Linked DNA regions of Struthio camelus. The main gene of each other region encodes a partner of the protein of the gene in region 2 in a complex. Links are inferred from orthologs where the notes say so. Each region holds a gene or a part of one and is shown on either strand. Other genes may lie near its edges.

The links.
Region 1: the proteins of CSF1R (region 2) and CSF1 are in contact, whole or in part, in a crystal structure (PDB 3EJJ), measured with the Mus musculus proteins. The link is inferred for Struthio camelus from reciprocal best matches to the Homo sapiens genes CSF1R and CSF1. Residues at the interface, in NP_001032948.2 of Mus musculus: Arg142, Arg146, Leu149, Arg150, Lys151, Lys168, Val169, Leu170, Ser172, Asn173, Val231, Gly232, Phe233, Leu248, Ser250, Asp251, Phe252, Asp254, Asn255, Tyr257, Lys259; in NP_001107002.1 of Mus musculus: His38, His41, Met42, Gly44, Asn45, Gly46, His47, Phe87, Gln90, Asp91, Asp94, Arg98, Asp101, Glu110, Arg111, Gln113, Glu114, Leu115, Asn117.

What each region holds. Positions count from the first base shown.
Region 1 is NC_090965.1:4,264,403-4,279,176, reverse strand, and holds the start of CSF1 (macrophage colony-stimulating factor 1), read right to left. Parts: upstream 6,966-14,774; 5' UTR 6,882-6,965; coding exon 6,861-6,881; intron 5,819-6,860; coding exon 5,687-5,818; intron 3,754-5,686; coding exon 3,691-3,753; intron 3,323-3,690; coding exon 3,143-3,322; intron 2,751-3,142; coding exon 2,573-2,750; intron 1,495-2,572; coding exon 578-1,494; intron 340-577; coding exon 284-339; intron 157-283; coding exon 105-156; 3' UTR 104-104; intron 1-103. UniProt on the Homo sapiens protein: Cytokine that plays an essential role in the regulation of survival, proliferation and differentiation of hematopoietic precursor cells, especially mononuclear phagocytes, such as macrophages and monocytes.
Region 2 is NC_090954.1:7,293,673-7,308,718, forward strand, and holds the start of CSF1R (macrophage colony-stimulating factor 1 receptor), read right to left. Parts: upstream 7,019-15,046; 5' UTR 6,853-7,018; coding exon 6,804-6,852; intron 1,562-6,803; coding exon 1,316-1,561; intron 519-1,315; coding exon 234-518; intron 1-233. UniProt on the Homo sapiens protein: Tyrosine-protein kinase that acts as a cell-surface receptor for CSF1 and IL34 and plays an essential role in the regulation of survival, proliferation and differentiation of hematopoietic precursor cells, especially mononuclear phagocytes, such as macrophages and monocytes.

The DNA.
Region 1 (14,774 bases), on a different chromosome or scaffold from region 2:
AACAATCGGGGGGGGGGGGGGGGGAAGATGAGGCTCCATCCAGGGGCTGCATGGGGGGGGGGGGTCCTCGCACCCAATTTGGGGCAGGAAGGGGGCCGCTCACCTCATAGCTGCTGCGTTTCCAGCTCTGCCCGGCCCCGGGCTCCCTGCAGCGCCCTGCGGGGCGAAGCCAACAGCGGGTTTAGTGCAGGGGGAGGAGGGAGACGTTGGGGTGCAGGAGGGGGGTCCCCGATGCCCCCCACCCCGGGGACACGACAGCCTCCCGTGCCACCTGCAAGCCCACCTCCTCTCCGGCTCTTCCGGATCGCGCTCGCTCTCGTCCAGCCGCCGCTCCAGGGCCTGGGAAGGGGGGGGGGGAGAAGGGAAGGAAAGCGGGGGTGAGGCAGGGGGAAGGGGACGGAGCCCGGGAGCTCCCGGCGGGGACGGGGACGCTCACCCGACCCTGCTCGGTGCCACCCCGCAGCAAAGGGGGCCGCTTGCCCGGCGCCCGCCAGCCCGGCCTCGCCAAACCCGCCGGGGCGAGACCGGTGGGGAAACTGAGGCAGGGCGGCGGAAAGCCGCCAGGACGGGTCCTTACCCTGCTTCTATACTTGTAGAAGAGCAGCCCCCCCACGGCCAGCAGGACGGCCACGACGCTGGCCACCGCCACGTATATCAGGGGCTCTCGGTGGCTCCCTGTGACTTTCGGCTCCTTCCTGTGCTGCTCTGCGCTCAGAACAAAGTGAGAGTCAAAGCTGGGCCCGGCTCCGCCGTCCTCGGGCTCGCGCAGCCTGCTCAGCCCCCAGGCTCTGCCGCGTGCGCCGGCCCCGGGGCCCGGGGGCTGCCGGCCCCCCGGCGCCCAGCCCTGCCGCTCGGGGGCCGCCGGCGGCCCGGGGCCGACGGCTGTCCTGGAGAAACGGAGCTGCGCGCCGGGCTCGGGCGTCTCGCCGGGCAGGATCCTGGCCCCGCTGCCCTCGCCGGGCGCCTCCGCTCGGGCACGCGCCGAGCCGGCGCTCGGGGACGCGTCCGGCGGCCCGAGCCCGCGAGCGGTGCCCGGCGCATCCGGGAGGACGGCGGCTCCGCGGTGCTCAGCCGGCTCCTCCGGCGGCTGCACCGCCGCTTCGGTCCCCTGGGGACCCCTCTCCGCCATCCCGCCATCCCCGGGCGGGATGGAGACGTCCTCAGCCGCGAGGACGACGGTCCCGGGCGGATCTGGAAGCGTTTCGGCGCCGACGGCTCGAGCTGGCTGCTGCATCGCGGGGACCGGCGCCGCTGGCGGGGACGCCGTGGCACCTAGCACCTCCTCGGTCCCCGAGCCCCCGTCCGTGCTAGCGGGCGGCTGAGCCAGGGCGCTGCCGTCTAAGCCGGCGAGAGCGGCACGGAGGAGGCCGTAAGGGACTCGGGCGCTAGCGGCCGCCGCTTCCCTGCCCGCGCGGGCGGCAGCGGAGAGGGAGGGCTGGGTGGCAGAAGGGAGGGCAGGGGACAGGCCATTGCAGTCACCATCTGTCCCCACACCTGCAAGAAGCAGAGAGAAGAGAGGGCCGTGGGGTGAGCAGCCTCCCGGAGGAGCAGACCCGAGCTCGGGGCAGCGTCCCCAGCCCACCCCGGCACCCCCCCCCACCCCCGCCAGGGGGGACAGCCCCAAAAAGAGAGCGGAAGCGAGGTGGGAGCGAGAGCAGGCGATGGGAGAAGGGGAGGACAGACAGACAGACGCAGGACAGACGGCGCGCAGCAGCCCTCGGGGAGAAGGGGAGGACAGACGGACGGACAGACGGCGCGCAGCAGCCCTCGGGCAAGGCCAAAATCATCGGCTCCCCTCAGCCGGCGGCAACGGGTCATCCAAGATTCGGCATCGCTGGCAGGAGCCGGGCAGCCCCGTCAACGGGAAGGCGCCTTTGAAGTCCCCGCGGTGCCCGGGGGGGCAGCGACAAGACGCAGCACAGAGCCGGCTCGCCGGCAGCGCGGACGACAGGCGAGGCCGTCTTCTCGGCCGGCATGCAAACACGCAGCACGGGCGCTCGCCAAAAAAAAAAAAGAAAAGCACGGGCAGCGACAGTCTCTTCCACCCCGGCGGGCCAACGCTCTCCTCGCGGGCTCAGCCTCGCGCCAGCCTGTGGGCTTTTACTCCAGGGGGCCGGCCGGGGGAAACCGAGGCACGGGGCAGTTGATGCGACTCGGCCGAGGTCATGCAGCAAGTCGGTGGCTTTGGAGAGGAAGCTAAGCCAGATGCCTTCAGCCGGGCCGACGGAGTTGCCTCCTTATTCCCCCTCGGTACTTCTCGCCGGCCTTATTCCAGGCAGGTTTCCTGCCCTAGCACGGCTGCGGCCCAAATCCGCCTCTCAAAAGAGGTTCTTATCCCTCAAAGGCTGGTCAGCCCCTTCTCTGGACCTGCCCGGGGTGCCCACACGAAGACACGCAGCCTGCCGACACACAGCAGCCTAGAGACAGGTACCAACGCAGACACGGGCCGTGGCCGCGTTTACCCGCGTGTGCCCGCGGACGGAGACACACGGCCGTAAAGCTGCGTCATGCAGGCGAGCCGCCGGCGCCGCGCCGGGGTTTGCCGGGCGGAGGCGAAGCCTCGCCGTCTTACCTAGCGGGGAGCTGGTTTGCTCGGGCTCCAGGCACACCTTCCGGTACACGTGGCTGCAGTCCTTCTCGAAGGTCTCCTTGGTCTGCAGCAGCAGGTCGATGTCGTGGAAGAACTGCTTCACCAGCGCCAGCATCTCGTAGGGGGACGTGGTGAACTCTCTGAAGCACTTCTGCGAGAGCTGGAGGAAGAGCGGGGCTCAGCGGCGCCCGGCAGGCACGGCTCCCGACCCGCGCGCCCCTACCCTCCGCCTTCGGGGCCGGTGGCACGGAGCTGGACCCACTGACAGGTGTCAGGAGCCACCAGTAGACGGGTCCCATCTGGGGCAAGGTTTTGGCCCAAGACCTGCAGCTAGGAGAGGAGTGTGGGCCAGCTGGTGGGGGGGGGGTTCCCCCCTCCATGTCCTCCATCCCCAAGCACCCTGTTTCACCCCACATCTCACAGCGCCCGCACCCTGCCGGTCCCCAGCACCCCTTTGCATTTAGGGTGGCTGCGTGCCAAAGCCACGGTTAAGGGTTTGGATCCACGTCCCCCGCGGCAGGGCGGGGGGGGGGACCCAAGAGACAACCGTACCTCTCTCTCCTCGTCATCCTCTTCCCTGATGCAGGGGTCCACGTTCTCGTCGATGCGGCTGTACATGCGGCGCACCGTCTGCAGCTTCTTGGCGTTGGACGAGTTCTCCTTGAACTCCGTTTTCCCCAGGATCTCCCCCAGCAGGGGAAAGGCGGCTTTCACGTAGCAAACGGGGTCGTCCTGGCAGGGCAGAGACCCCCCCCCCCAAAAGGCCGACAGGTCACCAGCTGGGCAAAGGGAGTGCTGCACCTCCTGGCCTGCTGGGGGGGGAAACTGAGGCACGGAGCCACGAAACGCCTGGGGCGGGCAGCCCTGAGCCCAGATCTCCGGCGTCCCAATCCAACCCACCGAGGCGAGACTCGGCAGCCGTGCGGCCAGGCGGGACAGGGCGCTCCTGGCCAACGCGCATGTGCTGCCTCCCGCCAAGCGGGGGAGGACTGATGGCAAAAGGGAGACGGGGACGAGGGGGGAGAGATGCACCCCGATACGGATGTCCCAAAGTGCCTGGGGACCCCTCTGCCTCCCCGGTGCCAAGAGGAGCCACTCACCAGCTGCACCTTATCGATGAACCTGAAGGAGACCCTGCCTGGATGCTGCATCTGGGTGTCAGCCTGCAAGGACAGAGCAGGGAGTCACCCCGAGTGCGCCCGACCCCCTGCTTCAGCCCCCGTCACCGGGGGACAAACGTGGCCGGACAGGGGTGTTGCTCATGCACCGCCACGGATGTCTCAACAAGTCTGGAGCTCAGCAGATAAACCCACACTGCACCTCCAGCCCCTGCTTCATCCCGCTCCATCCTCCTCCTCGCCGCACAGACGCTTCCCTAAGGTCCAACCTGCAGCAGGGGGAGGCCAGATCTCCCGCAAGAGCAGCACGTTCCCTCCTCCCGCCGTGCGGGCTGCAGGTACCAGGGGCTCCCTGCCTCCCTCCTCCCATCCCAACAGCCCAGCCCTGCCCGGGGCTGGAAACGCGAGAGCGGCTCTCCCGGCGCAGCCCCAAGGAGCACCCGCTTGCACCCTCCTCCCCAGACATAGGTGGGAGAGGCGAAGGGACCTGCTTCTGCTTCTTGCCCTGTGGCCTCCAGCCACGTGCACCGGGGGCCTCCCGCTCCGTGGCCAAGACACATCCGGCACGCCGGGAGCGACACCGAGGCCGTGCAAGCCCACGCGCCGCCTCGGCGCTCTGTGCAACGCCACAGTCCCGCAGACCCCCATGCCGCAACGGTTTCCAATTGCAGAAGAGGGGAGGAAGGGGAAAAACCCCCAAAACTCCCTTCCTGACAAACCCCGTGCTCCAGGCCCTGGAGCATAACTCTGGGCCTGCATCCCAGGCGGGGAGTGCGCCGGCTGCCAGGAGAGCAGCGTCGGCCTGGAAACAATTGCTCCATTATCTGGCCGGCCTGCAGCGAGGGCCCGTTCCTCCGCAAACGCCTCTGCAGGATGCAGGAGGAAGAGGGCTGCAATCTCCGGCAGGGAAACCACAACTTTTCTTCAAACCTGCACCATCCCGATCACCCCCCAACGGGCGCCCGCTCGGGATCGCCGCGGGGCTGCAAAAGGCTTCACGGGGAAGAGGGTGCAGGGAGCCGTGGGGCAGGCAGCTGGAGGGCAGCCCGCGCGCAGCCGGCGTGACGGGCGGAGGAAGCCAAGCTTGGAAAAATGACATCTGCCAGCTCCTGGCACCGCAGCAGAGCGCTTAAAGAGGAAGAGGTACGGCGAGGCCAGACCCAGCGGTTTGTACGCTGGCACGCAGCGGCTGCAAGGCCCTGGGGAGCTCGGTGCAAGCGAGCAAGAAGTGAGGATTCAAAGTGCATCACTAACAGCTCACCCACACACCCCCAGAGCTGAAGAGCAAACATTGCTCCAAAAGCTGAATTTGATCTGCCATACACATGTCTCCGCAGCAATAAAAATAAGTTTAAAAAAAACCCTGTGCATCCCCAGTTTTGCTTTCTCCTCTGAGCATCAGGACCACAGCCATGTAATTCCTGCTCGTCGGGTGGAGGTGAGCCTGCTCCCGGCCCACACGGGAACTGGGAAGGGGCCAGGGATTTCCTCTGCATCCTGCCCCGAAGCGCTGGGAGCTGCCCCGGAGGCACGCAGGGCAAAGGCGCCTGTCGCCCTGGCCCCGCTGGCTCCGGCAGCCCCCCTCGCCGCCTGCCACCCACCCTCAGCCCCGTTGCCAGCCCAGCTTCCAGGCAAGCAGCTGGACTCAGGAATGCAGCCGGATTCCTCACGTTAACCCCTGCGCCGCCAGCGCCGGCTCCCCGCATCCGTCCTTCCTCGCCAGCACCCACCGCCGGGTGCCCCCAACCTTGCCCTGTTTCTCGCCCTCCAGCCCTACTACTGACTCACGCCGCTTTCTCCTCTGCTCTTCCTACCAGCCTTTGGACGCGGCCACCCTGGCAAAAGGCACGGTGGCGGGTCACCTCCCCGGCCAGCGCGCCCAGGGGTGCTCGGGCGCCGGAGCGGGTGCTCAGCAGGGGACGGGCCGAGCCTGCCAGCGTCCCCGGTGCAACAGGGCCCGCAGCGGGACGGCACTCACCAGCTCTTGCAACTCGGCCAGGTGCTTCTGGGTGATGATCTGCTGGCAGTAGCTGTTCTGCTCTGTCTCATGGATGCTGCAGACGAGGAGGAAGAGGAGGGACGAGAGCAGGGTGCAGCGGAGCAGGCACACCTGGAGGCAGCAGAGCAACAGGTTGCAGCAGCGTCCCGCAGCAGCGTCCCACCCAGCCGCACGAGCTCACCCCGCCGCGGCCCCCCCACAACCCTGCTCCGGGTTTGTCTTTTTTTCGTTTGGGCGCGCCGGGTCGAGAGTTGGCCGGCGCAAGCCCGGACACAACTCTCGCTGGGACCGGCACAGCCCCGAGCTCCTTCGGCGCCTCCACTTCCCCATCCCACGTTCCAGCCCTCGCTCTGACCTCTCGGCCCCTTTCCTGCACCGTTTCCATCTCTCCTGCTATTTTTCCTCCCTGGGCTCCCGGCAGACCCCCTCCACCCCGAATCCTCCTCCCATCCCTCAGACCCAGGCCCAAATTGCCCCAAGCCAGAGCTAGGGGTGCAGGAAACCCCTTCGGGCAGGAAAACCCTGCAGATGCATCTCTCACAGCACCGGCACCGAGAGTGTCTCTTGGCACTGGGAGGAGAGAGAGGGGGAATTTCCCTTGGAGGGAGCCCAGAAATTCTCCCGTCTTGTGAAAGAGCAGATGCCGGCCGGGCCACCGCAGCAGGCTCCAGCCTCACCCCACCAGGGCGACAGTGCCACTCTGGGGGTCCCCACCGTGTCCCCCCCACCAAAACAGGCAGGAGGTGGGGGGGCTGACAGACAGAGGGATGGGCAAGACGGGTGCCCCATAAGCTTGATGCCCTGCTCACACATATATTGGGTGTGCCCCCCAGGCAGAGTACCCCCTTCCCCATGCTGGGTGCCTGACCTCCCCCTCACCCACCCACACAAATACTGGGTGCACCCCCCCCCCATGCTCAGTGTCCCCCAAGCTGGCTGCTCACCCCCCCCAGTGCTGCACATCCCCAAGCAGGGTGCCCCCTCCATGCCCGACCCCCCACCCCATGCTCAGTGTCCCCCAAGCTGAGTGCTCACCCCCCCCAGTGCTGCACGTCTCCATGCTGGGTGCCCCCTCCATGCCTGTCCCCCCCGCCAATACCGGGTGCAACCCCCCCCCCCCCAAAGCCGGGGCCCCCCCCGGGCGGCGCCGCACCTTGGCTCCGAGGCGGGGCATGGGGGCTGCCGGCAGCCGCGGGGCCGGGCCGGGCGCGGCGGTGCGGGGCGGTGCGGACGAGGCGGCGAGCGGGGCCGGGCTGAGCGGCCGCCGCCGCCGCGCTCCCCTTTATAGCGCCGCGGCAGCATGTGGTTTATGAGAAAGGGCTGGCGCCGGGCCAGCCCCGCTCGGCCCCGCCGCCCGGCTCCGCTCGGCTCCGCCCGGCTCCGCTCGGCTCCGCCCGGCTCCGCTCGGCTCGGCCCCGCCGCCCCGCTCCGCTCCGCCCGGCTCGGCTCCGCCCGGTTCAGCCTGGCTCAGCCCGGCTTGGCTCGGCTTGGCTCAGATCGATTGCACTGGGTTCAGCCCGGCTCGGCTCAACCCAGCTCAGCTCAGTTCGGCTCGGCTCAGACCAATCGGACTGGGTCCGGCCCGACTAGGCTCAGTTCAGTTCCCATGGATCGGACTGGGTTCGGCTTGGCTCAGCCCTGCTCCGCTCAGCCTGGCTCAGCCCGGCTCGGCTCGGCTTGGCTCAGATTGATTGGACTGGGTTTGGCTCAGCTTGGCTCAGCTCGGCTCGGTTCGGATTGATCGGGCTGGGTTCAGCCCAGCCCAGCCCGGCTCAGCTTGGTTTGGCTCGGCTCAGGTCGATCGGACTGGGTTCAGCCTGGCTTGGCTCGGCCCAGCTCAGCTCAGCTCAGCTCGGATTGATCAGACTGGGTTCAGCTTGGCTCAGCTCAGCCCAGCACGACTCAATTGGACTGGGTTCAGCTCGGATCGGATCAGATCGACTCAGATCGATTGGACTGGGTTCAGCTCAGCTCAGATCGGCACGGCTCGACTCGGATCAGCTCGATTGGACTGGATTCGGCTTGGCTTGGATCAATTGCTTGGGCTGGGTTCAGCTCAGCTCGCATCACATCGGATTTGCTTGGATCACATCGATTGGACTGGGTTCAGCTCGGATTGGATCGAACCAGCGCGGCTGGGCTCGGCTTGGATTGGCTTGGATTGGATCAGCGCTGCTTTGATCAGATCAATCGGACTGGGTTTGGCTCGGCTCGGCTCGATTGGACTGGGTTCAACTCAGCTCAGCTCAGCTTGGTTGGGCTGGGTTCAGTTCGGCACAGGTCGAATCAGCTTGGATCAGATTGGATCGATTGGGCTGGGTATGGCTTGGCTCAGTGCGACTCGGATCAGACCAGATCATTTTGGATCAGATTAGATCACTTCGTTTCAGCTCAGCTCGATTCGGATCACATCAGTTCAGCTCAGCTCAATTTGGATTGGATCAGCTCAGTTCAACTCTGCTCAGCTGGGTTTGGCTCAACTCAGCTCAGTATGATTCGGATCAGATTGGTTTGATTCTGCTCAGCTCGGCACAGCACGGCCTGGTTCAATTCAGCTCAGCTCAGCCTACCTTGGCTTGGCTGGATCTGGCTCAGCTCAATTCGGCTTGGTTCAGCTCAGTTTGGCTCAGCTCAGCAGAGCTCGGATCGGTTTGGCTCGGCTGTGTTCAGCTGGGCTCGGCTCAGTGGGCACATGGCACTCACAGCACACGAATGGATCCATGCAAACCTCCCCCCACGTGTACCTGCGTGCATGCATGCCCACAAGCGCACGTGGGTGCACGCACACCCGTGGCCACATACACATGCACACATACGTGGGTGCGCAGCCCCCAGCACCCGCGCCTGGACGTGCGTGCATGTGCACGTGTTTGTGTGCATGCACCCGCATATCTGTGTGCACACATACCCTACATGTGTGCGCGCACACACACTCAAGTACACACATCCCCATGGACACACACACACAGGTGCACGTGTGTGCACACGGTCCCCATGTGCATGCACACCCATATGGATCCACTCCCCCACGTATACACAGCTGTGCACACAAGCACGCACAAATACCCCATGCACGCACAGAGGCAAGCACACAAATGCGCACACACGTGTCCATGCACACGCATGCACACAGACCCCCCACCACCACCTGCACGCAGGTGCGGGGGTGTGCACACCCGTGCGGGCAGGCACACACACACGTTCGTACGCACTCACATACACGCACAGATACGCAGACACCCGCATGGACGTAGCACGTGTGTGCACGCACGTACCTGACACGTATGTGTGCACACACTTGCATATACATTGTACAACCACTTGATTGTCCATGCCCGCACGTACGTTACGTATATCCACCCTGACATTTACACATCTATGTTTGTACACAAATAAATATAGGCGCCTGCCCGCACACACCCACATGCATACGCGTGGCCGTGAAGACATGCGTGGCTGTGCGCAGCACTGACACACGCACAGTCCCGCAGCGGCGCGAGTCTGCAGACACGTGCCTACCCAGCCTGGGCATCCCCTTCTCTGGCCTTGCTCCTCCGTTGCATGCCTGCGCCACGGTATCCAGCCAGGCCCAGATCTCTTCCTACAGAAAAAAAAATCCCTTTTTCCCTCAAAAGCAGCGCCGTGCGCCAGGGACGCTGCCTCCCGCCGGGGCCGGCTGCTGTGCTGAGCCTCCCTCACCAGCTGCGACTTCACCCCCTTGCAGCTACTCTGCCCACAGCATCTCAAACCCCCTTTTTGGCATTGCAAAGTGCAAAGCGACTTTGTGCCTTAATCCTACCCCACGTCAGAAGCTGTCCTGCAGAAACTCCTGCGCTGGTTTAATACCCTTCCTCTCCGCAGCACGTGCCCCGAAGGGCTGCTCCCTGCCAGTAAATTGGCCTCAGCTCCCCGAACCCACCGCCGTTTGCAATCCATCACAGCAGAAATGCCCTCGAGCAACATTTTTGCGGTGCGGAGGGTCCGAGGAGATTCGGGACCGGGGAGGCTGGGCCGGCAGGCAGGGTGCTGCGCTTGCGGGTTCACCGGGGCTCGCTCATCCGGGCAGCGGGAGCCCGCGCGCTCGGGCGAGCGCTGGACGGTGGCTTCGGTGTGTGCCATCGGGCTCGAGCGGGGCAGAAACGGAGCCGTCTGGGCGAGAAAGCTGATCAGAAAACCCAAGGCGTTCCCGCAGCGGCCGCTCCGGTGGCCGTGTCTCCTACTTTGGGTGCTGGGCAGGGATGCGTGCAGAGAGCGGGCACGGCCAGGAGGCGCGAGCGGATCCCTGTGCTGCGCAGGAACCGATCCGGTTGCATGGGTGCACGTGAACGGAGCCGTGTGCGTGCATGGATCCACGTACACGGGTGTGCGTGAATGGAGCCGTGTGTGCATGGATCCGCCTGCGTGGGTGTGTGTGAACGGAGCCGTGTGTGTGTGTGCGTGCACAGATCCACTTGCATGGGTGTGCGTGAATGGAGCCGCGTGTGTGCGTGCATGGATCCACGTGCATAGGTGTGTGTGAACGGAGCCGTGTGTGCATGGATCCGCCTGCGTGGATGTGCGTGAACGGAGCCGTGTGTGCGTGTGCACGCATGGATCTGCGTATATCGGTGTGCGTGAACAGAGCCATGTGTGCGTGTGCATGCATGGATCTGTGTGCATGGGTGTGCGTGAACAGAGCCGTGTGTACAGGCGTGCATGAACAGCTCCACACGCACACAGGCGCCTGCACGGGTCACCCGGGGTCGGGGAGCCCCGTTTGCGTGGGTGAAACAGGACCGGGCTAATTTTGCGAGCGAGGGGGACGCGTCGCTACCCAAAAGGCGGGGGGCACAGTGAAACCACCAGCGTTGCTTGCATGATGCAACGCGCCACGTTCTCTCTGCTTTCGGGAGGGTTCCTGTTTGTTTGCTGCTTGTTTGGAGGCAACTGGAAACAATTAGTCGCCGTGGGGCAAACCGTTTCCTTGCAAAGCCTTCGTCACCCCGAATGGGGAAGCGGCGAGCGAAACGGGCCGCCAGCGCCGGCGACCGCCGCCGGCGCCCAGAGCCACATCCGAGCGAGGCGAGCTCCGGCGAAGCGCCGGTGTCTGCTCCGCGGGGCCGGAAACGGCGAGCGGCTTTCCGAAACTGCCGGCGTTTTTTCGCGGAGCGGAGCCGAAGTGGCCGGCGGAGGAAGGGGCCGAGCTGGGTGCCAGCCGGGACGTCCCATAAGCGCCGTCGGAGCTGCCTGGGGGACGGGAGCGCGCGGGTGGCCCTGACCCCCCCCCCCCCCAGCGCTCGGCTAAATGCTGCTGATGGAGGAGGAAGGATGCCGGGGTTCAAAACAATTTGCAACCCCCCCCCCCAAAAAAAAACCCTTTCCCCCTTGCAACGCCTCGCGGTTCATATACATTTTCCACTCGAGCCGCTCCGGGATGAGCTGTCCTGGGAGGGCAGGCGGCGGCGGGGCAACTCACGGGACGCCGCACGGGGGCCGCGGGGGCCCCTTTCCCGCGGCCGGCCGGCCCCGCTCCTCGCTTATCTCCGGCACACTCATCCCCCGCCTGCCTTTAAGTGACCGGAAAAGTGTCACGGCCAAGAGTCATGGGACCATCTCCGCGGGACGGATGAGGGCAGCGAGGGGGCTGCGGAGCCGCCGGCTCTTCGATTTGGGCAGCAAACGGGTTTTGCCCCTGCTCCCCTCCAAAACCTGCCGAAATCCCGAAGTCCCGGGGCCGAGGCGCAGGGGAACCGGCGAGCCCGCTTCGCGCTGCAGCGGGAGCAGCCGGGCCGGTGGGCAGCGGCCGGCTCGGAGCGATGCCGAATTTGGGGTGGGGGGAGTGCAGAAAGGCAGCCAAGAGCGACGGCGCCGCTGACCTTCCCCGCTTGGCGCTCGCGCTGGCCCCTTCGGCAAAGGGCCTCGCGCTGCAAACGGCCCTTTCCTAAAAAACCCAATTTTGGCCTCGCCGCAGCGCAGAGAAAGTTATTTGCAGCAAGAAAGTGCTGCGAGCTCTTAATCAGTTCCTTCCCCGCTGATTCACTGGCCGGGCGGGAGAGAGTCGGCATGCAGCTCTGCTTTGCTTTCCGATCTGCCCTTCCCCGGCCCAAATCAGCAGCCGGCAGACGGATTTTTCCGCCTGGCGTGGGCTGGAGCGGGGGCAGCCCCGCGGCTCGGCGGCCGGCCGGGGTCCCGGCTGCCGGGGGCCGCGTGATGCCCGGAGCGGGACGGGGCTCTCCGAGGCCGCGCCGGCAGCCCGGCGGGATGCGTGCCGAGGTTGGAAATCCCCGCGGGACAGCCCCGAGCCGGTTTTCCTAAGGGAGCGGAGGAATGCGGGCGGCCCCGGGGCCGTCAAGGGTGGCACGGGAACAGCCCGCGGTAAAGGTCCAACGCTTCACCCCCCGCGGCGAGCCGCGCCGCCAAAAGCGCCCGTCTCCTCCCCGCAGGAGCCAGGCGCGTCCCCCCCCCCCCGGCCACGAGCGACCGGCGATGCTGGCGAGCCGGGCAAGGGGGTTGCACGGAGGATGCGCCGCGACCCCGGTTGGGTCCCCACCGAGCTGCGGGTCGGCTCCAGCCCCGAGCGGGCCAACGTCCTTGTCCCCTGCCCGGCCACCCGCGGGTGCCACCGTCGGGAGCAGCCGGGCGGCCGAAAGACGGAGCGCGGGTAAAGCGCATCCGGGCGCTGCCGGCACGGGCCGACGGATGGGGCCAACCTGGGGCAAAACGCCGGCGTCGAGCAGGCGCGAAGGGATGGGGACGGGATGGGGACGGAGGCAAGGGCGGGGGGGGGGGGACACTGGGAGGCGCGCCGAGCGCCGGGGATGCTGCGGCGGCGCGGGGAGGGCCGGGGACCGCTCCGCCGGCGAACACAGGAGCCGTTTGTCCTCCTTGGCCGAGCCGGTTGTTTATCCGCGGCTGTTTACATCAGCGACTGGTCCCGCTCTGTGCCGCCGCCGCCGCGGCCCGGCTGCCGCCGGAGGCAGCGAGCGGAGCGAGCCCACGGGCCGGCCGGCCGCGGGATGCGGCGCTCGGCCGTCCTTTAGGGGTGCAGCCGAGCGCCGGACCCCGTCCCGAGGCGGTGGCCGGAGGCCGCCCCCGACCCGGGCTCTGCACCCCGGAAAAGCCCGGCAGTGCCCGGAGGCATCACTCCCCCCCCCCGGTCCCTTCCCCGGCCGAACGCGACCCGCTCGGTTTGATTCGAAGCGGTTTTCGAGCCAAACGGCTTCGAGCGACGGTGTCTCCGGCCTGGCGTTTCCGGCGTCTCGAGAGGGGACACGGCGGGATCGAAAAGCAGCCGGCTCGCGCGCGGTCTCGCCGTCACGTCTCGGCCAGGAGCCGCCGTCATGGTGGCCGTTCCCACGCTCCCCTGGCGAACGCCGACGGTAAATCTGGCCTTTCCCGTCCCTGGCCGCGACTCCGGCCTCCGTTCGGGCCCGTGCCGGTGGCCGTGGCCTCGCTCCTCCCGGGAGATTTCCCAGCCGGATGCTTTCACCTTTTTCCTCCCCTTTTTCCCCAAACGCTGGGCCCAGCAAGGGGAGCGCGGCGGGAGCCGAGCAGCCCGGCCCGAAGGGGTGACACAGCCTCACCCGCCTCCGTAGGCACCGATTTTTGGTGCATTCACCCCCTTTTCTTTTCTTTTCTTTTTTTTTTAAATGGGGCCACAAGCTGCCGGCGCCGTTTGCTGCTCCTTCGAGCAGGCGAAGCGTTTCGCACTCGGCCGCCCCGGCTCCACGGGGCTCCTTCCTCCTCTGCTCCCCGCCGCTGCCCAGTGCCGAAAGCGGGGCTGAGCCCCGGGGGGGCCTTGGCGGGAGCAGCTCTCCGGCACAGCGGCTCAGCTCGCCCTCCAAACCCTCCTCCTCGCCGTCGCCGGGCCGGAGCGAGCGGGAGCGGAGCGGCGCGGTTTGTGCCCGGCCGCTGGGACGTGCACCTACGCCAAGAGCATTGTATCATCCCGGGAACGGGGAAAACAACCTTCAGCCGCTACCAGAAAAACACGAGCTGATGCATCTTGGCCCGCGCTGCTGCGCCTCCACCCATGCTCCCGCCCCGCGGCCCCTGGGGTGCCGACGGGGACGGGTGGAAGCGGGGGGGGGGGACGTGGCGGTGGCGGGTACCCCCGGCTCCCGCCGCGCACCCCAGGGACAACCCCGCTGGTGCAACGGTCCCTCGCGAGACCGGCCCCGGGAGCCCCACCAGGTTAAAAAGCAAAGCAATCGTCGTCCGCCGTGGGGGACGGGCATGGGCAGCCCGAGAGAGCCAGGGATGCTCTAGGCACCGGGGCGGGGGGGGGGCCGGGTCCCGAATTTGGGCTATGCCGCACTCAGCAGCGAAGACTCAGGACCGTCCTTCCCCGTCCTGCTTCCAGCCCCGGGGAAGGGGCTGGCGCTGCAGCCCGAGCTGCAGGCGGCTCCCTCTGCCCCCCCCCCCAAAAAACCCCGACATTCATAATTAAACATAATGCAGTGGAATTTCGTCCTCCGGCCGCTGCTGTCGCATGCGGAGGTTCGTGTGGTCTGCGCGTAGCCAGGCTCCATTTCGGAGCAACCACAAGAGTTTTCCAGCCCCTTCTGCTCGGCGAGCGGTTAGCGCTGGGGCCGGGTCGCCCCGAGCGGGGCCGGCAGAGCCGTCGGGGTCACCGCGGCCCCAGCCGCCGCCGGCGACCGTGCCCACCCCGAGGGACGGCGGCGCTCGTGCCCGGCCGCGCCGCCCCGCGCGCCGCCCGTGCCTTTTCCAGCCGTCCAAATTGGGGCCGTTCCCTCGAGCGCCGCTGCCCCGTCGGGACGGCCGGCGCGCAGCGCAGGGGACGACGGCTCCCGGGAAACAACCCCGGGATACGGACGGGCTCCGGATCGCAAGGAAACGGGCCGCGAGCCGCTCTTCCGAAAGCCGCCCGGCCGTGCAGGCGCTCGGGGCGCCGGCGCGCAGCCGAAACCCAGGCTTTGCTCAGCCCGAAGCCGGGGGGCTGTTTGGAGCACCCGTAGCCGCCGCCTTGCCTGGCCGAGGGTGGCGGCACCCGCGGGTGCCCCTCTCGCCCCTGAGCCGGGCTGCAGAAGGTCCCATCTGCCCCCTCCAAAGTCACCGGCAACGTGCC
Region 2 (15,046 bases):
AGTAGTGCCTGCGATGATTAGAATAATGGAATCCCCATGGAGACCCACCTAAAGGGGACAATTTGCCAAAAGCTGGTGTTATTTTGTATCTCGGCTCCATTAAGTACCTTTAAAAGACTGCAGGTTCAGAAGGTCTTTCCTACCTCTGGACAGGAGCTTTTCCTTAACTATCCACTGTGGCCAGCTGAGCTATTGCTGTCCCCCTGAGGATGGTAGCAACCCCAGCCTCTTACCTTCTTCCACAATCAGTCTTATTCTTGAGGACTTCTTTATTTTTCCATTTATCACTGCTTGGCAATAGTAATGGCCCTTCTGATGATGTTGCACATTGTATAGCGTTATTCCCTTCTCTGTACTGAAAGAATAATTGGTCCCTGGTGAGAGGCGAGAGACGTTGTCCATTGTCAGAGTCACACTGGATCCGTACTCAGGGGCCGTGATGAGACAGGGGAGTTCAGCATTACTGCCTTTGGTCACGAGGATCCGGAAAGTTGGGGTGTACCACACGTTATTGGGATCTGTGGAGGAGGCAAGACAGGCCAGAGAACTGTATCCAGAAAGCATATGTTGTAGCCGAGAGACAAACTTCAGCAAAGGTAAGTCCTCTCCAGCATTGCTGTTTAGTGGGAGTTGGAGCAGCCCTGCCTCATGCCTGCTTCACTCAACCTCCAAAACTCATACAAGGCCAATTCCAGCTAAGGCAGTTGAGGAGAGCAGAGCTAGCAAGTTACGAATGCACACAGACAAGAGAGATTAAGAAGCATGTTTAGCACTATTCAGCCTTTAATCATGGCGTTAGTTTTGTTTGTAAGAAAGACCTTCACCTTCCCTATGCAGGACAGCATCCCTGGTACAAGGGAAGGGGTGAACTCATGTGGTGGAGTTACCCAGGCATAACTCTTTCTGGGGTGAAATAATTTTTAGGATTCAGCTCACATGGTGGGGATTGATTAATGTGAATCTCCCTCCTATCTGGGATATTGAGAATATACCTCTTCTCTGATTTCCAGACCTCACTGCGTGTTACAACAGAAAACAGACTTTCAACACTATTTTTCAGGAAGGGAAGCCAAGGTAAATGGAGGAAGAGGTCCATGCCACTCATACATCTGCAGAAGATGTAGGTGCTCTGCGCCTTACCTGAAGGCTTCAGTCATGGACCCCATTGTATGTGGGTGAGCCACAGCCCTGCTAGGAGCCCGCACTCTCCCCAGACACACATAACCTTAGCCATACAGAGGACCTGCGTAATGGCTTTGATCCCTGAAAGGAAGCCATTCTTCCAGCACATGTAGGAGGAGAGAACAACAGCTACCTCGCACAAACAGATGCACAGAGGCGATGCCCTTGTCGCTGCTGTTGACGTAAGCACACTTATAGGTGCCTGTATCCCTGTAAGTGGCCTTGGGAATACTGAGTGTGCTGCTGGTGTGGTTGGTGGATGTATCCTTTTGGCTGTACCATTCAACTTCAGATTCTCCTGAGCAGTGCAAGGTGACTGGATCACCAGTATTGACAACCAGAGAAGGGGTGTCAGGGTTGATCACTGGGGATGCTGAGCCTGCAAACAAAAGAGAGAGAGGGAAGACACGCAAATGATCCCTTAGGATGCTCTGCTGAATTTCACACTGTTGAGCATGGAGTAGTTTAGCTTTGGGAAGAGACTGAGTTTGGGATGCAGACAGGCTTTTAGTGTCACTTCACTCCAGCCATTCTCCACCTCACCAGCCTGATACAGTGACCTGATCTTCCAAGGAGTAAAATTCAGGGAAGGGAAATGAAGCCATATCTGAATGTTCAGAGCAATAGGGAAGGAAACAGAATCATCTGGAGCTGATTAGGCCAGGTACTAGCTTAGAAATTGTTCCTTTTGGGTTTTGCCTCTTTTCACACCAGGTTTTCTTTTTGTGGTGGAGCAGAAGGTACCGTAGGAGTTTGGTGAGCCTACACGGCCGTTTGGTGAAGTTCAGGCCAAGGCCAGTGGATGGGGTTCTCTCTGTCGTGCTGGTGCTGTGATCAGTTAGAAGCAGCCTGGAAAGCTTCTGCAGAGCAGAAGTCCAGTACATGTCCTTTGAGAAGCCTGCCTTTTTTGGTTGCCGGGCAGTGGATTTTGACTCGTAGGTGTCCTTGCACCCTTCAGACGGTGTCTTTTTCTCCCAGGTACCATCAATATATTAGGAAGCGAGTCAGCACTATTATTCATATTCAGGGGTGGGAAACTGAGGCACGTAAAAGCTAAATGGTTTATGCAAGCCCACAGCCATAATCCTATACGCTGCGTATCAGACTATGCTGTCACTTGCTATTGCAATGCAGCCAGATTTCTGATGCCGCCTCTGCCTTGAAGACGGCTTCTCTGCTGGCTGAATAAAGGGGAACCGGAGTCCCACTCCAGCCCTCAGTGTCAGAGGGAAATATTTTTCCCTGTTTTGCTGCATCAGCGAGTTCTTTGAGTCACCACCTATATATAGGGTGGGGGGAAGTGAGAAATGAATCAGTACTGTGGGGCTAGGGAAGAAGTGGTACTGCTACCCCCACGCCAGGCCTTTGCGGAGGACAGGAAACACATTGCAAATGGCTATCTGTGTTTGGGGGGCTCTGCACCCTCCCCTCCGGCCCTGATCCAGGGCTATTCTCCCACTTCTGCTTTTCTTCCCGGTTGCTAACCCATCCTCACATCTTAAAGCGACACACACTACGGCTCAAATAACAGTAAGAAGAAAGGTATCTGCCCAAGTTATCAGCCAGCCGCTCTTAGCAGAGTAGGTCACTGCAGGCAGCAGAGCTCCTCCGGGGTGGTGGCAGTGGAAAAAAAGGGGCAAATTTGGCCTTGGAATGCATCAAACTCTGCTGCAGACACAGCCCTCGACTCACAAGGGCTCACAAGGTTGTTAGTGGAAACATTTGTTGTCCAAACAAATATAAAGGCCCTAATCTGGCAGGAAGTGGGAAAGGGCAAAGTGTCCCATGATGACACCATTTGTCCAGCTGCATTTGCATGTCCTCAAGGGGAAGCGGAGCAACGGCCTGATGTTACAGCCCTTCACTATCCAAGTCTGCTGCAGGGACGAGAGCCAAGGAAGGCTGGTTGCGCATGGGCAGCAGTAGCAAATACTGTTTAAAGCACTGCAGTCCCAGATGCCACTTGGACAGAGGACACCATCCATGTAACAGAGTTGACAGAAGCAGCATGCACCCATCCTCAGCCACCTCCATTCACAGCCCTCACTTGGTGAGGAACAGGATGGCCAAGGCGCAAACGTGCATCCTGTCCTACCGGCTCTGCTCAGGCCTGTAACGCCAGAGCCCAAAGAGCATCTCTGAAGCGGTCTTGGGCTGAGGCCTCCCTCCATGCAACAGAGGGCAGAGCTCCATGACACTCAAGCCCCTGGAGAGCTTTACTGGTGTGTGACAATGATGCGGCTGCACTGGGGAAACCCAAACAAGGCCTGAATCAAACTTGCAGGCCCTGGGGGAGGAAGCGGGAGACGGGCAGCATGGAATGTTTGAGATTTATCTCCTTGAGTGTTGTTTTTTTTTAGTGATGTTTTTAATCTGTCTGTGGAAAGAGGAAAAGCCTCATTTATTCCCAAAGTGGAGAAAAACATACCCCAGAATCCTTTGCAAAGCCACATTTTCCACATATCTGAGGTACAACATTCCTCCCTCTTTGCTAAGCTGTGTTTTCTAGCAGGGCTTGACACATTTCTGTTGCTTTTACTCTCTATCACTGGACACTTTGCCTTGCCAGCTCTTCACCTTGGCTATCCTTCTACATCCAAGGCTTCAGCATAGTTTGATGCAGCTCTGGGTGAAGGAAAGCTTCGCTCCAGCATTCAGACTGGCTTGGGAAAAGGCCATGTTATAACTGGTCCTTAGCGTGGCCACAACAGTAGAGCAGAAACAAGAGTCTTGTCACTCAGCATCCTTGCTATCAGCCTCCAACTGCTCCCAAGGTACTTGTAGCCAGAAAAGGCCCCAGAGTACTTAACTCTACGTAATATACTGCAATGGAGAAGCCAGCAGCCTTCAGGCAGTCACTGAAGACTCCTAGCAATGGCGAAAGCACCGCACAGGTGGAGTGAAGATGGACAGGACAGAGCACAGGGACACTGAATGCAGGGTCCTGCCAGGTAAAGGCCCCCGAAGCGCCCGCTCCTTTGCATGCAATGGGAGATGAGTCAGAGGTCCTTCTCCCCTTCTCCAGAATGGGGAAGCAGGGCTGCTGGGGGAGGCTTGCTCCCTGCTGACCAGTGTGCAATCTTGCACGAAGCCCAAGGATGTCTCTGCTGCTCCTCAGCAGCTTCCTCAGCACTGCCGGTAACTGCTGGCCAAAGGTTTTGCCACACTTGGATTGTGTAACCATGACCTCTAGTAACAGCTGCAGGCTCTGTCCCTGCCTCTCTGATCACAGCCAAAACATAACTCTCCTCTGCAGAGGGTGTGGAAGAGGCAAGTAAGGAGAAGTGGAGGCTAATAAGACTTGGAGGCTCAGGAGCCTTGCACAGAGGTTATTCATCAGGCCCTTTACTTGATCCTGGGGGCTAGATAGGCTGAATCTGGCCCTTGGAGGGACCTGCACTAGGCCTAGGCTCTTCTTGCTCTCCCCACAATGACAGGAGAGGATTGGTGGCTGAGAACACCTTCCTGAGATAGTCACCTACTGTACCTGGAGGCAGAGAAGAAGGTTCGGTGCCCTTCTCTGCTTGGGATTTCCTCCTCAGAGACTTAGATTCATCCCCAACAAAAATGCCAAAACCCTGGAAAGACCTCTCCAGATAGCCAAGAACACAGATGTGGGATGCTCAGGTTTCAAATCCTTCCTCTGCTTGATCTGGAGCTGGGATCTGAGTGCAGGACATTTTCCCCAGCGAGAAGCCAGGTCCCAAGGGTCACACTGCATCAGCCATGGGTGTGCTCAGAACATGCACCCACAATCCAAAAGGAAGGAGAAAGGAGCCAAGCTCTGACTCCAGCTTCAGCCTGAGGAGATTGCTTTAGACAGCCTCAGTAGGCCAGGGCTTTGTGCTGGAGGTGGCCAAGAGCCATGACACTGCGAACAGCATGTATCTAACTCCCTGATATGACAGACAAATGTCTCACAAGGATTTCATGGCTGGTGACCTGCATCACCCAGAACCTTAGGAAACCTTTTGCAAGATCTTGACAGATCTTGCTATGACCTGTCACATGCATACATCAGAGGTGCCCGGTCCCCCCCAACAATCAAGCTGCTGAGAGTCTCACAAAAGATGCTCCAGTGCCCTGTCCCACCCGGGAATCAGGAAGCAACATTTGAAAATTAAAATTGGGTCCAAAGATGCTAAAGACATAATTACTCCTTAGGAGTCCAGGAATAGCTGCAGGGGCTGGAAAGGAAGGGATCTGAAGCAAGAACAAGCGCGACAAGGAATTCAGACCAGACTCTCTGAACTAGAACAGTGACAAAACCCTGCAGTCTTCACTGCCCAGCTCCCAGCACAGCAGACCTGGAAACAGCTGAGCATGTAGGAGACGAGGCTTGAAGGGAAATACTGCAGTGCAATAGCAAGGTGGATGCAAGGTTTCTGAGCTGAAAATATGAACACAGTAGCAGCTTGAGAGGGAAACACCGTCTTCCTGCTACGTGCCAAATGTTTTTCCTCCAAGATTACACCCTTTGAGGGAGACTTGCCCACCAGAGCCTCACAGTCCCTGAGCTTGCTCCGCAGGAGAATGGTGGGAAGGGGGACACAAGAACTGAGACGCTGCAAGTATTTGATACGTGAGATCAGTAACACAGGTCAGCAGGGGCTGATTTCTGTGTGTTTGGTTGCAAACTTCAGAACTGGCTTAGTGACTTTTGAGGTCGATGAGCTATCGCCTCTTGGCCACCTCATCAGCCTCAAAAACCAGCTGTATTCATCTTTCCCTCCTGGCTGCCTGAATTCAGTTTCCATCACAGGGTTTAACACCTTGCTCTACAGCCCTTTTGTACAAGCCAATACCACCAAAGAACAGTTGTGCTCAGACACCTCTCTCCTACCAGGCAGGAAGTGCATTGAAAGGGGTTGATAGAGGTGTCTGTCCCAGCTTTTTGTCACCTGTAGGCCAAGCATCTCCAGCTCTTGCAAATGTTTTTTTCCAGAGAGAGCTTCCCTTGGGGCACGCTTTCTGCTGCGTCTCTTCTTTCTCCTAACCCACTCCCAGACCCAATCCACCTCTCTCCCTACTGCTGAGATCCTTTCCACACCACTTGGCCTTCTCTTGGCAGGGAAACAGGGAGCCAAAGCGAGCCCTCAGCACCGTTGAGATCCAAAGTCAACATGGATTAACGATACAGCCTCTCTCCACCACTGCCCTCCTCCTGCATGGCAGCCAGCCCTGGAAGGGGTTCAGAAAGGTGTTACAGCCTTGGTTGTTGTCTCTTCGCTGCAGCTAAGTGCTGCTGCGGAGTGGGCATCCCTCACCTGCTATCTGCCTCCTACAAGGCTCCTTGAACCTGCCCATCTGCCACATCCCCTCCCACAGGCCCACACAAGCACTTTTGGGCTTGGTGTAGATGCGATTGGGAGCCCAGCTTTGCCCTTTGCAGCTGGGACCCGAGTGCCCTTTGATCAAACTGTGGCATTTCCCCCTTCCCCAGCACAGACAGGGCTTTTGGGGGACCATCATCCCATCTCACCCAAGGACGGGCTGGGACAAGAGGGTTCTCCCACATATCTGTGCTCATGCTGGACCCTCAGGAAACCCAAACCAAATCCTAAAACCACTCTGGAGAGATGCAGCGACAGAAGGGAGCTCTGGAGGGTTTGTGGACCTACCGTGCCAGAGGCCAGCAGCAGTCAGTAGCACCAGGAGGCCAGCGCCCATCTTCCCAGCAACGGTGGCACCTCCCCAGCTCAGATCTGGGGTGCAGAGAAGACCCTGCAGGTGGCTGAAGAGACCCTCTCGGGCGGCAGGCGCCTCTCCGCACAGGCACTGTCCACAGCGCTCTCTCAGTAGGAGGTTCTCCTTTCTGAGTTGACCACGAGTTGAGAAATTCCTTTTTTTTTTTCCGGTTTGTTTTTAAAATGGGAGGGGAGAGGGGGAAAAAAAAGCGATGTTTTGAGATGTCATCAGTGACAAACCTGAACCATACAGGTGGGACTGTAGGGCCCAGCAAGGGGCCCCCAGGGCAAGCACAGGGCAGCACTCCTCTACAGCAAGTCCACAAAAAGGCCTTGGGCTCAGCCCCAGGTGGCTCCCAGGTAGCAAAGGCTCACAAGGACAACAAGTAGTTTGGTTTCAACTGAGGATACGAACCCCAGGGCAGAGAGGGCCCTGTGGCCCTGAGCCTCACGAGGCCACACTGTGGCCCTTCTCTAGCCAGCAGCATGCAGAGACACGGCCATCCCAGAGCGCTGCAGCCATTGAAGGGGACAGCGGTCAGGGAGCTGCTGCCAGGCTGCAGGCTCCACCAAGGACCCTTCTCCCTGGCCCCAGGGAATATCTCCCACCTGCCCCACTGTTCTCACACCTGCAGGGCTCATCCACCTCATGGAGCCGGCTTTGGTGGGGAGACTTTTTGCAGCTGCTTTCTGATTGCCAACCTGGCTGGCACCTGGGAGTAGTAATGAGGTGCTTTGTTAACCCTCTCCTGGACTGCATCTCTTCTAAAATCAGGGGTGAGAGTAGGATTGAAGCAAAACATCCCGCTAAGGGGTGGTCAGGTCAGCAAAATGTTAGCAGGTCAAGGGAGGTGCAGGGTCCCCCTTGCCCTGTGCTGCAATGCTAGTTAAGCTCATGCTGCAGCAAAAGTTCAACCTGGGTCGTGACAGCTCTGGGGTAGGAAGTTACAACCACCAGCTGGTAGCACAGGCTGAGAAAGAGGTCTTGGGGTGCTCCAGAACTCCTAATTAGCTGCTTGGAGCCACAGCTGCTTGTCTGCTCTCAGCAGGGAGGTGTCAGAGAGATGGGCTGCCTAATTTGGACAGAAGGACCCAGGGTTTACTGAAGTGTCTGTACAGAGGTGGCTGTTGAATCTGCACTTACAGCTCAAATGTTCCTGACGGAGTAGTCCTCCTCGTGTCTCTGTAAATCAGAGGGGAGCAGGCTTGCGGGATTCTCCAAAGGGGCACTTAGAGAGGTACCGGGAAGACAATATCTTTCGGGCCAAGAGATGAAAGCACGGCTGACTGTGCTGAAGATGACTAAGAGTCATGGGAATGAGGAGAGAGCTCTAGGTTTTGGCCAGAGGGATGGCTGGAGAGCACAAGGGAGCGAAGGAGTCCAGAGAGAAGAAACGGCAGCTTTTGGCTGCAGAAGATTTCCTCTCAGCAGTTTTTCCTGGCAGGACATGGGGAAGAAGGACATGAACCAGAGACACTGTGGTGTGTTGGGGGGCTCCTGCCCAGAGCTGGGGGCTTGGAGAGTGGTTGGGCTGCAGGAGATATCTGGCTGATTATCTTTCCTCCTTTTGAGCCAAAGGGACTTTTTAAAGGATGTTTGCTTCCCTCCTTCTTCTTTTTAATTTTTTTTTTTCCAGGAACAAATGCCAGCTCAGAGAGAACTGACTCACTCATGTGAACAAGTATTAAACCAGACAGGTTGCTAGCAGAGAAGGGAAACAATCTCTCAGCCTCCCTTCTTGCCTTGGAGGAGCCCCTTACAGAGCCTCTCCGATGGCAGCAGTCTACAGGTGACAAGTCACAGCCAGCGCACATGGCTCCTCAAGTTGGGCTGGGCACACCTGAGGATGCTCAGGCTGGTGGGACAGGCTGTCTGCTGGGCTTCCTGCCTCATTGGTGGTCAGTCTCTTCCTGCCTGTGGGCAGCACCTCCAAGTTCTGTGACTGCAAGCGGCAACTCAGCCACTGGAGTGTTACTAGTGCGGGCACAGCTCCTACCGCTCAGGATTTCCTTCCCCAGGTTGTCATGAGTGGGTTGACATAGCAGTAATAAGAGCTGTGCCAGGCTTGCACAGGACCAGCTTGATGCAGAAGATCCCCGCTTTGCATGGCCAGCTGATGCTGTTAGCCCAGGTGGGCTCCTGTGCCCAAGCAGCTCGGAGCAAGAAGCAGCATTACTCTCAGAGGAGCTACAGCCTTACTTTGAGTCATTTGAAGTCCAGGGATGTTTGTGGAGGCCTCCATGGCCAAGATGGCATGCTAGGAGATGGCACGAGACCTACCCACTACCTGTTTGGCCATGGGCTGGCTGTAGAAGGTAGAGGAGTTGTGAGCACTTGGAGCCCAGGCTGATTTCCAGGCTGGTGGGAGTTGGGCTGGACTGTTGCAGCCCTGCAGGACCCCTGTACTGTGCACAGCCATCTGCAGCATCACTGCCTGTCTCACCTGCCCTGCAGCAGCTGGGGGGCACGTGGGAAACAGCCATGTCCTGAGTCAGCTGTTGGTACCCAAATAGCTAAAAGTCCTGCTGTGGGGAGCCTGACTGCTGCAGCAGGCCATGTTTGTCTCCAAAGGCACCATCTGAATTTCTCTGCTTCCCTGGGCTCCTACACAAGATGCCTGTCTCACCATATGTGCTTACTACCAAAGAGGAGAGCAACTTATTTCAGGTGGAGAAAATGTCTTGCTGGAGGTCCCAGGGTCCAGCTACTCATATCCCTCCCAGCAACTCCTTCTTGGTGCGTCTCCACATGCAAAAGGCCTGCTGGGTGGAAATCGGGCTGTGGGAATGAGCCAGGTTCTCATCTGAGAGCTAACAAGCCCCCTTCCCTGCTTTTCTGCAAGCCTTTACTGCAGCCTTTCTGGAGATGAGCTGATTTTTTTCCCTTGCTGATTCATGTCCCGGAGAAAAATGCCCCGACACGGCTGAGCCATGCCAGGTGACCCAGAGCAAAACTTGGGGAGAATCAGCTTGAGCTGGTCAGGGAGCCTGCAAACCTCCTCTCTAGCAAACTAAGCAGAGATGGGAGCTCAGGACAGGCCGTGCTGGAAAGGAGAACCTTGCTGAGACTTGCACCTGTCGCCTGCTGCAGCCAGTGCCTTGGGCCTTTGGGGTACACAAAGGGTTTCCAGGAGCTGGGGTGTACAAATCCCTGTGCAAACGGGCACGACTGCTGCCGGCCAGGACTTGTGCTGGGGCTGCATCACACAGCCTGAAAATTGGGACAAAGTCAATATATTTGAGCCTCAGTTCAAAATCCTCTTTGTGCAGCAACCTCAGCCTTTCCAAGCATGCAGCTCTGAGCTGGCTGCAAACAGCTCTGCTCAGCAGTCTGGGGTAGTTTTTGAGAGCAACAGTTTCAGTGGTGCTGCAGAGAGGAGGCAACTTTGGGCCGGACTCCGGGAGGTAACTGTTTCCCGTGTGCTTGGGGGACTTCAGCACTTACCTGGTGGCATCTGGGGGAAGGTGAGGGGACCAGGAGGAAAGGGGAGAGACAGAGGGACCTGGGATGAGAGGGATGGTAGTGTGGGGAACCAGCACTCGCGGGTTTCATCTTTAAAGGGTAATTGCACCTTCCAGAAGGAGAGGAGGAGAATGCAGCTCAGAGAAGCTCTGTGCACCACGGCTTGGCTCCTGCTGCTGCCCTGCTCTCATTGCTAGCTCCCCTCTCTCCCGCTGCCCTGAGCCACTATACTATGGAGAAAAATCAACTGCACTGTGGTGTTCCCACGCCTCCCTCCAACCCCACACTGCTCCAGCCTGGCAGACCCACATCTCTATCCTGACTCAAGCCCAGACCCAGCAGCGTGACTCAGGAGGAGGGCAAGCCCTGCTTGAAGGCTGCTGGGCCAAACCCCCAGCTCTGGGTTTCAGGATGTACGTGTTGCTGGTGCATCTTCTGATAGCTCAGCTGTCCTTGCATCCACTCACCTCCACTCAGCGCAGCGTGACCCACAGGCTGGCCCGCTACCAGATAGCCAGGGCAGACCCTGTCCTGTTTGCAGCCCCTGCTCCTTACCACGTCTCCGGGCTCAGCTGCTGCCTCGCTGTGCTTCTCACTGCCTGGTTCCCAGCTTGGCTTCTGCTAAGCGTTAGGGTCATGCACAGCGTATTAACGTGCTTAGCCTTCACCCACGACATGGTTAAGCTGTATGCCCAACCCATCTGAGCGGGAGCAAGTGGAAGCAGCCGAAACCAGGCAAACGAAGAAGAAGACGACACTTTGCAAAAAGAAGAAACACCTTTAATTTTAAACTTTTTCTTTAAAAACATATTTGTAAAAGTTTACAGCATAAAAATAATATCTCATGGCTATAGATGTGACATAATACGAGTCCTACAAATACATCTGTAAACCTAGGAGAATGTTAACTCTTTGGTACCTCAGTCTGAACTCTGTTTTCTTCCTTGCCCCAGGATGGTTTCTGGCAGACAGTGTAGAGGCAGGGAAGCTGCAGAGTAACGGTGTGATCCCAGCTGGTTCACACAGTGGAGGGGAGAGGGCAGCGAGCACGCTTTGGGGAGTTTTTCAGGCCTTTGCAACTTTGATGAGCTCCATACAGGAGGAAAGGATAGGAACGAGTGGGGCACTGCAGGCCTCCCAGCACAGCCCTCAGCTCTAGCTGGCTTTCCTGCCTCCTCTCAGTCCAGCAAGAAGAGCCATCTCTCCAAGAGTCACCTGGGCTAAACTGGAGCAGTTCTCCTGCATCCAGATCCATGTGGGCATGCCCCAGAGACCCCAGGCTGCGTCTGGGCTCCCCAGGGCTGACTTGGCAGCTTGCTGCTCTCCGGTCCACGTTGGGCATGTGTGAGGTTGTGCAATTTGCCCTGCAAACTGGCCATGCTGATCCTGGGATCCGAGCTAGGCACTGAGCCCAGCTGGAGACCTTCCCTAGCGCCTGTGCGTTGGAGCAGGGGCTTTGCCTCCTTACTGCATTAGTTGACATCCCATTTTAGAAAAAGCCGCCAAAAGAAGAGGTCTGTGAAATCCCCTCCTCCAGAGCAGCCCAGTTTTACACAGACAGACCCTGGACTTCCCCCACAGCCAGAATCTAACCCACTGCCCAGTACCCTGTATCTGCGGTGCTGTCTCTCCCCACCCCGGAGAGCTGGTGAGCCCTGACTGGGAAGAAGGGGAAGAGCCATTTCCCACTTCTGGCTAACTTTCTTCAGGCTGCACATCTGCCTTGCACTTCTGTCTTTCATCCCCACGGGACTCCACAACAGTCCCCTTGGCAGGTGAACAGAGACAATCTAGTTATAAGTAAAGGCCACTGTGCTCTAGATTTCATAACATGATGCAAACAAACACTAAACATGACACTCTCACTTAAAAAAATAGGAACGCGCAAACCGAGAAGGACAGAAGGGTCAAATCCTGCACACACATCAGTCTGAGACACATCTTAACATGAAAAGAGACACCAGCGTGTCACATTAGTTTCTGGGATATACTTAGGCACATATGAAAAAGTGACTGGCAGTAGGATTATGCATATATTGGTGCTGATAACAACGCAAGAGCTGTTGAGTACAATATGGTCTACAAATGAAAGATATTGCACTAGAGATGGGCCCAAGCTGTGGCATGTGTCCCTTCTGGGGATCTGGGCTGTGAGTAAAAGCCCCAGTTTGGGTCCACCTCTGAACATGAAAACACACCCAAACAAAAATTCTAATAATCAAAACTAAAAACCTGGAAGGACCGGTTCCCTTCAGAACGTCGCTGGAGAAATTATGGCTACAAAACTGATGGGCCCAGAACAGCCAGCCGTTTCCCACAGCCCTCACCCATCGGACTGCACAGGGACTGGAATGTCAGAAGCAGAGAGAGAGGGAGAGAGGGCTGGATCTGGCTCCCTGTGCAGAGTGAGCTCATTTTTGGAGCTGGAAGCCTCTGCCCCTGCAGAGCCCTCTCTTAGAGGAGAGTTCGCTTAGCTGGGGCTACTGGGATGCCCAGCTGGAGCCATCGCTGGTGCAGAGCTTACCAGTTCTGTACCAGTACCGGGCAGCATCCACTGCCAGGGTACCTACACTAGCAGCCAGAGCTGCTACTCTGTCCTGGGTGGAGGAGATTGCTCCTGCAGTGCGTGTGCATGCCCTCACTAAGGGGGTGATAGGACTAGCTGAATAGGAAAGTACCACAAAGTGCAAGACTTGGCCCTTGCAGTCCTGGGGCCAAAGGAAGATATTTGGCCATACCTCTCTGGAGGTGAGAACGGTACCATCATGCAAAGAGACTGGTGTACCGTGTTAAGAAAGGAGAGGATTAGCAGCAATTTGCTAGCAAATCTGACCTGATCAGCAGACAGAACAGGTTTTGGTGCAAAGGATAATTGAAATAAATGGGATAAAAAATATGCAAATGGGATAAAAATGCAATAGCCATCCAAGGGTAGTGAATGCCCAGACAATAGGAGAGGATACCTGAGTTCCCCCTTGAGGGAGAACAAAAAATCTTCACTTTCAGGACTGTAGAAAAGCATTTGATAGTGGGAAATTAGTAATTCATCTGTAGAACATGGAGTTTAGTGCAGGGACTGTGAAGTGAATATGGAAATATCCCAAAGGAGGGTGAGAAGCGGTTAAATGATGGGGAACTCTTTGGGCTGGAGGGAGGTAGTAGAAGTGGTTCTCCAGGGTTGCTCTTGAGACCAGAAGCATTGAATATTTCTATTAGTCAGTCCAGCCCAAAAATAACAAGTTTGCTAATGAAATGAACTGATGACCCAATGTCTGGAACAGCAGGAAGTATCTCGGTTAGAAATGCCAGAAGAGTAGAAAGATGTGGGTGCCTAGATCGGTCAGGGGATGACTCCAAACTACCACTATGTTGTGACTGGGAAAAGGCCAACATTAGCCAAAGCTACACCAGGCAAGACAATTCCAGCATAGATCAGAATGTATTAATGCCCTATGCGAGGTCCTGATTTGACCTCCCCTGGAGTACCGGCTACTTCTCATCACCCTTGATAGAGAAGGATAAGTTCAAAATGGGGCTAGCGCAGGCAGTGGCTGTTAGGATGATGTGATGTGGCATCCTATGGGCTCAAGCTGCAGAGACATGGATCCTACCAAGCACCTTAGAAGTTAGAAAAATAAAGTGGCCTGACCCCGGAGATCTCATGCGTTATTGCTTCCCTGTGGTAAGGATTGTTCCTTGAACCATGACCACAGAAGGTGGCTACTTTGTTATAAGCATGAGGAACAGAGCGTGGAAAACAGCTGTCATTCGCAGTGTGATCCCAATGGATGAAGGGGAATCTGACCATATGTGTTGAAAATATACTCCACTGGCTACTAATAAAAGTGCTATTTCTTATGTTCACATTTTACCAGTGATACCAGCCCGCAAAATATCTACTCCTCTTTTAGCTGCATAAATGGAAGCTTTACTAAGTAGCAAAGACTGACGACTTAAGACAGAAACTGTCTTGCTTGGGGTTTACTGGCAGAAGTCTCAGATTTTTTGAAGAAAAAAAAGAAATCTAAATAGCTGTAAGGTGGCTGAAACCCAGAAATACATTGACTGAATTTTCAAACCTGTCTGCTTTCAAACCTGCAGTTTTTGTAGGACGCACATAAAGATGTGCATAAGCAGGGCAGTGAAGGGGTTAATGGAAGTGAGGGGCATGCAGCAAATAAAGCTCTGTGAAAGGCGAAACTTCTCCTTTTGGAAAAAAGCCTGTTCATTTCTGTGCTGATGTCACAGTTGTAGCTTTTGGGGTTCAGCTTTCGTCTCTGCAGAGCAGGAGCTCACGGCTGATTTCAAAAGCCTGGTGTTCCTCCTGCTTTGAGTCCCCTCATTCAAGTGCCAGCATAGAGCACAAGAGGTCCCAGGCCTGTCTGTGAGAGCCGGGGAGGAGGCGAAAGTGGGAGGAAGATCTCTGCCATTTTATTCTTCAAAGTTCTTTCCAAGAGAGAGGAATCCTGCCCGATTCTTGCTCTGCTTGGTTCCCCGTGGCACTCCATCCACAGTCCCCAGCAGGCTGCGAATGACTGTGCCCGGCCACCAGAAATGCTATTTGTTGTTGAAACCTACCTTCCTTTGTGTATTTTGGCAAGCAGAGAGATTCGAAGTGGCAGTGTGTCAGACACGGTTCAGCCCTGGCCAAAGAGCCTTCCGACCTCTCTCTCGCTCTCTCTTTTGCAATGTCCCTGTGTTGGTGTTCTGGCAT